2 linked regions of the Oryctolagus cuniculus genome follow. The protein of the gene in region 1 interacts with the protein of each later gene in a pairwise test. Links are inferred from orthologs where the notes say so. Each region holds a gene or a part of one and is shown in the gene's direction. Other genes may lie near its edges.

Region 1 (3,806 bases):
AACTGGCACTCGTACAAGAGATGGGAGGCCGGCACTGTGGCGCAGCGGGTAAAACCACCACCTGCAGTGCCGGCACCCCATAAGGGCACCGGTTCAAGTCCCGGCTGCTCCACTTCCCATCCAGCTCTCTGCTATGGCCTGGGAAAGCAGTAGGAGATGGCCCAGGTCCTTGGGCCCCTGCACCCGCGTGGGAGACCTGGAGGAAGCTCCTGGCTCCTGGCTTCGGATTGGTGCAGCTCCAGCTATTGCAGCCAGCTGGGGAGTGAACCAGCGGATGGAAGACCTCTCTCTCTCTCTCTCTCTCTCTCTCTGCATCTCCTTCTCTCTCTGTATAACTCTGACTTTCAAATGAATAAATCTTAAAAAAAGAAAGAGAGAGAAGAGGAAGGGGCATCCCAAGCAGTAGCTCCACCCACGGTGCCGCACTATCTGTCCTGATCCTTTTAGTTTAATTACTGATAAGGAGGGCCTTTCTTCTCCCAGCTTGCTATTTATTTTATATGCTGTTAATCAACCCTGCCATCTTTTGTATTAGACTGACATATTCTAGTGTACCACTAGAATTAAATTCCCTTGCCATTTCTCTGACTATATTTTGTGATTTTGTTTTTAATTAAAAAATCATTTATTTGAAAAGTGAGAGACAGAGACGCAGGAAAATCTCCCATTCACTGCCTCACCCCTGAGTGCCTGCAAAAGCCAGGGGCTGGCAACTCAACCCAGGTCTCCCACCTGGGCGCCAGGGACCCCACTGAGTTGCCACCTGCTACCCCCCAGGGCGCACACTAGCAGGTGGCTGGAACGGAAGGCAAAGCCGGCTCTTGAACCTAGGCACTGTGATACAGGTGCAGGCATCCCTAAGAGGCATCTTAATCACTGGGCCAAATGTCCGCCTCCAGGACCCTGGAACTTCATCCGGGTCTCCCACGCGGGTGCAGGGGCCCAGGCACTGGGGCCGTCCTCTGCTGCCCTCCCAGGCGCATCAGCAGGGAGCACCCAGCTAGTTCTTCCACTGTCACCCTGCAGCTCTTGCAAAGGCAGATGTGGGAGGGCTTAGCGGATCCTTTCAGCTCATCACCAGTGCCACATCGGGCCACTTACTCCCTCCCATTGGCTGGAACAGGTCACGTGGTCAGAACCAGCCGGAATATTCAGAATCAAGGACGTGCAGTCCCCACGCCAAGGCCACACAGCCACTCCAAGGCAAAGTCCAGGAGTGAGCAGGGCTTGGCAGCTGCAGAAGGCGTCTCTGAGGGTTGGGGTTCGCCTGAGTGTGTCCCCATCTCCTTCTCTCCTCCAGAGCGGGGTCAACAGCGGACTGGTCCGTGCCAAAGACTCCATCACCAGCTTGAAGGAAAGGACCACGCGGGTCAACCAGCACGTGCAGACCCTGCAGGTAGGAGCCCCCCCCTCATGGTACCGCCCCTTCCTCCAGGGCCAAGCCTCCACATGGTCAGGGGGATCCTGCCTATCACGGGCTGTCCCCGCCGCCTTAGCTGATCCCCCCACCCTTGCACGCCCCAGAGCGAGTGCTCGGTGCTGAGCGAGAACCTGGAGCGAAGGCGGCAGGAGGCCGAGGAGCTGGAAGGATACTGCAGCCAGCTCAAGGTGAGACCCGGGGCCCAGGACCGGGGCGCGGGGCGGGGACAGGGCCGGGAGGAGGCCAGCGCAGGGCCGGTCTGGCCGAGGCGGGAGCCGGGCTGCAGAGCAGACGTGCCGGGGGGAGCCCAGGGCAAAGCAGCGAGGCCGAGGGCCGGCGGGCGGAACTGGAATGGGAAGGCAGGGCCGGCGCCCTGGTGTCCTGACCCAGGAGAACTGCCGGAAGGTGACGCGGTCGGTGGAGGACGCGGAAATGAAGACCAACCTCCTGAAGCAGAACTCCGCCATGCTGGAGGCAAGTGGGCGGGGCGGGGGGGGTCTCAAGGCCGGACGCCCGGGGGCCTGGGGCGCCACCACGTGCCCCTGTCGCTCATGCACACCGGCGCTCCACCAAGAGGGATTCTGATGGGCGCCCCATCCTGCGTGCAGTCACGCACTTGAGCCCGCCCCGTGCACGCGGCCACCGCTGTCCCCCACGCAACCCCGGGGAAGCGCACGGGCCTCTGACACCCAGGAGGCTGGGGGCAGAGGACAGGCACGGGCCACGCCTCCAGCCGGGCCTCGAAGGGTGCGGCTGGTCCGGGCCCGCTCCTCTCCCTCGGGACTCCCGCGCGGACCTGGGGGTGGACGCGTGGGCTGGCCGCAGTGACCGCCCCGCCCTCCCCCACCCGCGCCCAGGAGAAGCTGCGCTACCTCCAGCAGCAGCTGCAGGACGAGACCCCGCGCAGGCAGGAGGCGGAGCTACAGGAGCTGGAGCAGAAGCTGGAAGCCGGCCTCTCCCGGCACGGCCTGGGTCCCGCGGCGCCGCCCCAGGGCTGCTCGGGCCCGCCGGGGAGCCCTGACGAGCCCCCGAGGCCGCGCGGCCTGGCCCCCGGCGGCTGGGGCGTGGGGCCCCGGGCTGGCGAGAGCCCCCACGTGAGCGAGCAGGAGCTGCAGAAGGTGTCCGCCGGCCTCGAGGAGCTGAGGTGCGACGTAGCACGCGGCCCCGGCGAGCGCTAAACCGGGGCGGGCGGGGCTCGAGGGCGGGGCAAGGGGTAGGGAGGTGGGCGGGGCCTCGAGGGGCGGGGCCTGAGCCACGGTGGAGGTGGAGACGGGACTTAGAGAAGGCACCTACAGCGGAGAGCATGCAGGGGGTGCAGCCAGGAGGGGCTGAGGGGACTTGGAAGAACCCGTGTCTTAGGTCTGTGGGTGGCATCTCCTCTCCTAGAGGCGCAGGCCCGGGGTGAGCGATGCCTTGGCAAGGTCCTGCCTGGGGGAGCGGGGTGGAGCTTGGAGCCCTGACAGTGGCAGGGCCGGAATAGCAGATGGGGGAGCTCTGGAGGACAGCAGGGCAGGGGAGAGTGTGGAGATCGGGTGGGAGGCGGGGTCACTGCGGCGTGTCCCAACCCGGCTCCCACCGCACCCCTCTCTGACCCCACAGGAGGGAGGTGTCCTCGCTGACCGCCCGCTGGCACCAGGAGGAGGGCGCCGTGCAGGAGGCCTTGCGGCTGCTCGGGGGGCTGGGCGGCAGGCTGGACGGCTTTCTCGGCCAGTGGGAGCGGGCGCAGCGCGAGCAGGCGCAGACGGCGCGGGGCCTGCAGGAGCTGCGAGGCCGTGCGGACGAACTGTGCACCATGTACGCGAGGGGCGGGGCTGGGGCGGGGCCAAGCCGGGCGGGGCCAATCAAGTGTGCCCGACCAAATACTGACGTGGAGCAGCGCCAATTAAGAGCAAGGGGGCGTGCCCTGCCCAAGGGATGGAACCAATGAGAGAAGTGGGTTCCACACCTTTAAATGACGGGCAGAGGGGCTGGCAGGCAGCGTGCCGGGGACCTGGGGCTGGTAATGGGTGGGGGCCTGGGGGCCTCGCTGCAGCACTGGTCACTCTGCCTCAGGGTGGAGCGGTCGGCCGTATCCGTGGCTTCTCTCAGGAGCGAACTGGAGGGGCTAGGCCCGGTGAAACCGATTCTGGAGGAGCTGGGGCGGCAATTCCAGAACTCCCGAAGGGGGCCCGACCTCTCCGTGACTTTGGATCGGTCCCCTCAAGGCTCCTGCGCCCGCTGCGCCAGGTGAGGGGGCAGGGCCTGCCCCAGGATGCCCTCTGGGCCCCGACGGGCGTTCGCGAAGGGCGGGCGGGAGCTGCGTGCTCTGGGAGCTGCCTCTCCTCCCTTTCAACAAGGGGAAGTCAGTGTCCTGCCAGCTCCGGAAAGGCGTGACAGATACAAACGC
Region 2 (3,717 bases), on another chromosome or scaffold:
TGCGCACGCCAGGAGCCTCAGGCCCTGCCTGCACATCCTGGAAGAAGCCATTGGCTCCCATACTCCAGCGGTTCTGCAGGTGCGATGCTGACACCTGCCTCCTCCAGTGGGTCAGCCAGAGAGGCCACACGGTCCCACCCAGGTGGGTGAGGGCGTGGTGTGAAGCAGCAGAATCCAGAAACAAAACCAGAGGAATGAGTTGGCCAAGCCAGCCAAAGTGGGGCCATCAGGGACACCAGCTGGTCCTGCTCCCGAGTCCTGGCCAGCAACCTTCAGGGACACAAAGGAGTGAAGTGCTGGCCGTCCCTGCTGCAAAGAGCCCCAGGAGGAAGAGAAGCATCAAGCGGAAGCTGTCAACCAGAGTATGCTGCTGGAAGGTGGTCCCTGAGGGGCCACGCCCACCTCGGCCCACCCACAGTCTCCTCTCAGCCTCACCGCCAGTCTGCTGTCCGGCTCCCGAAATCCTCCGTTGCAGCCACCAGACACAGGGTGCACCCTGCATGCTGCAGGTGTGTCCACAGGGCCAGGCCTCTGGCCAAGAGGTCAGATGGCTCACTGCCCTCCCCTCTCCCAAGCCCCATCGACCTAGTAGGGCCCTGCTGATCCCGTGCACACAGCACCAACATCACTTTTGCTTTGAAACCTCCTATAACTACCCCCACCCCAACACCACATGCCATGGGTCTTCTCTCTGTTCCTAAACCTCCTGCCCAGCTGCCATGGGCACAGATGGTCTGTGATGGACCATAGACACCAGCACTTCCAAAGGGCTAAGGGGACACACACAGAGTGCCACATTTCCAAAGGAAAATAGACACACACACTACACATGCACACACGTGCATGTGCAAGCATGCACACGCACACACATGCACAATCCAGAAAGAGAATGTTCCCATTTCCAGGTGCAAAAGGTGCTCTGAGAGATGCAAATGACGTGCAAGGCTGGGCAGTCCCTGCCCAGGCCCCTCAGAGGGCCAAACGGACAGGATTCAGGCCCCTGGGCCCCGTCTCACACAGGCGTTTTGGCTGCTCACCTGGCTGATGCTCTGGAGGCGGCCAGCCCTCGGGCCCCATCAACACCCAAGACCTGCACATTCACTGGCACGTGCACCTGACTTGGGGCCTTTTCTCCACTTTCCTCTCTGACCCCAGAGGCCCACCCGCTGCATCTCTCCCCCTCCCCCACAGAGTCCTGTCCATCTCCCTAGCTCTCTGCCCGAGACCTCCCACCAGCTCCTGCCCACCCCCCAACACTGCGCTACTCTTGTCCACCGGGCTAAGAGCCTCTGTCCATCCATCAGGCTGGACCAGGGCACACCTTCCCCTCCCAGCAGGCACCATGAGATTCCAAGGACACCGGCCCCGAGGGTGTCCATACTGCAGAGGGGCTGCAGGAAATCAAACCTAGCAGGATAAGGAATAATGCAGGGTCGGCCTTCACTGCCAGAAGAGGGACACGGGCTCAGGACTGGCACCGTGGCTGGCCCTGAGATGCCGCCCCCTGGGGGCCCGATTCGCGGATGGGGAGCCATGGCAAGGAAGAAGAAGCAGGGAGGTTACCACAGTCCAGGGTGCCGGCTTCCTTCCACCGGGCGGGAAGCGGGCGGGGAGCAGGCACTGCTGCTGGGCTGGCCTGGCCTCCAGGGTTCCAGGGGCCCCGTTCCCCTCAAGCCCCAGTCCCCACTCCAGGCAGCCTGGCTTTGTGACTTCATTCGCTGAAGTCACCTGGAGACAATGCCGAGCGTTCCACCCCTCCGAGTCCAGGCCCAGCCCAGCCAGACGACTCCCTGCAGCGCGAACGAGGACAATGCCCGCTGGCCCAGGCGGGGAGGGGATGTAGAGGGGCAGCGGCGCCAGCCGCTCCGGGCACCATGGACGATGCCGCGGTCCTAAGGAAGAAGGGTTACATCGTGGGCATCAATCTGGGCAAGGGCTCCTACGCCAAAGTCAAGTCTGCCTACTCCGAGCGCCTCAAGTTCAACGTGGCGGTCAAGATCATCGACCGCAAGAAGACGCCCACTGACTTCGTGGAGAGGTTCCTTCCTCGGGAGATGGACATCCTGGCGACCGTCAACCACCGCTCCATCATCAAGACCTACGAGATCTTCGAGACGTCGGACGGCCGCATCTACATCGTCATGGAGCTCGGGGTCCAGGGCGACCTCCTCGAGTTCATCAAGTGCCGGGGGGCCCTGCACGAGGACGTGGCGCGCAAGATGTTCCGCCAGCTCTCCTCGGCCGTCAAGTACTGCCACGACCTGGACGTCGTCCACCGGGACCTCAAGTGCGAGAACCTCCTCCTCGACAAGGACTTCAACATCAAGCTGTCCGACTTCGGCTTCTCCAAGCGCTGCCTGCGGGACGGCAGCGGGCGCATCATCCTCAGCAAGACCTTCTGCGGGTCGGCGGCGTACGCAGCCCCCGAGGTGCTGCAGGGCATCCCCTACCAGCCCAAGGTCTACGACATCTGGAGCCTGGGCGTCATCCTCTATATCATGGTGTGCGGCTCCATGCCCTACGACGACTCCGACATCAAGAAGATGCTGCGCATCCAGAAGGAGCACCGCGTGGACTTCCCGCGCTCCAAGAACCTGACCGGGGAGTGCAAGGACCTCATTTACCGCATCCTGCAGCCCGACGTCAACCGGCGCCTGCACATCGACGAGATCCTCAGCCACTCGTGGCTGCAGCCGCCCAAGCCCAAGGCCATGTCCTCTGCCTCCTTCAAGAGGGAGGGGGAGGGCAAGTTTCGGGCCGAGTGCAAACTGGATGCCCGCCAAGCCTCCAGGCCCGAGCACAAGCTGGGCGCCAAAACCCAGCACCGGCTGCTGGTGATGCCAGAGAAGGAGGACAAGGTGGAGGAAAGGCTGGCCGAGACCTCCAGGGTGAAAGACCATCACATCTCCGGAGCCGAGGTGGGGAAAGCCAGCACCTAACGGTGGCGAGAGGGCCCGGGGGCGGCGGCGGGGGTGTGTGGCGCGCAGTGTGCACTCCAGTACACCAAGGAGGCAGATAGGAGCGGAAGAAGGCACAGGTGCATGGAACAAGTAAAATTCGTCAATTAAAACACTATTTTGATTACGTTCTGTTAGCTTTCTTCCACTCAGTCGCGGAGACGCTGACTGCCGATCACCAAATAAACCACAAAGTGTATACAAAGCATCCAAAGTGCCCAGTGAGGAGTCTTTTTCTCTAGGACTCAGGCAACCGCCCCCTCTGCGGCGTGGGGGAGGGGTCTCCATCCAGCATTAGGGGGCCAGGGAGCCTTGCCCGGGCACAGGCATGACGTAGCGGGAGGCCTTGTGGGCGAGGCAGGGACCGGTGTCGGAGTCCACCTGCCAGGCCCTGCGAGCATCTTCCCTGGAACTGCCTGTCCCTAGCGCCTCCAAGCTGGCCAGCTCCGTGCCTCTCCCTTGCCACGGCAAAGGGCGGCCCACTCCAACCCTGACCGGCGCCCTCACGCAGCCGCTCTCCCAGTGTCCTTCTCGGCAGCACCCTAGGGCGTCTGATACCAGTGACCCTGACCCCCAGGGCTGAGACCTTTCACCTGTGCCCTCTCCACCCTGTGGACCTGCAAGCCCCACTCGGCAGTGTCAGGGGTGGCACCCTGCCCAGGGTCTTGCGCTTCCTCTCTGGTCACCCACTGCTCCTAGGTGACAGCTCCCATATGCAGGCCCAGCACTTGAGATGGTCAGCACCTGGACAGCACCCCTT

The links.
Region 2: the proteins of TSKS (region 1) and TSSK2 interact in binary tests that used the Homo sapiens proteins (3 or more experiments, as listed by UniProt). The link is inferred for Oryctolagus cuniculus from reciprocal best matches to the Homo sapiens genes TSKS and TSSK2.

The regions. Positions count from the first base shown.
Region 1 is NC_091449.1:7,788,901-7,792,706, forward strand, and holds part of TSKS (testis-specific serine kinase substrate), read left to right. Parts: intron 1-1,300; coding exon 1,301-1,396; intron 1,397-1,524; coding exon 1,525-1,608; intron 1,609-1,783; coding exon 1,784-1,894; intron 1,895-2,277; coding exon 2,278-2,564; intron 2,565-3,019; coding exon 3,020-3,214; intron 3,215-3,472; coding exon 3,473-3,646; intron 3,647-3,806. UniProt on the Homo sapiens protein: May play a role in testicular physiology, most probably in the process of spermatogenesis or spermatid development.
Region 2 is NC_091452.1:26,932,324-26,936,040, forward strand, and holds TSSK2 (testis-specific serine/threonine-protein kinase 2), read left to right. Parts: upstream 1-1,741; 5' UTR 1,742-1,874; coding exon 1,875-2,939; 3' UTR 2,940-3,165; downstream 3,166-3,717.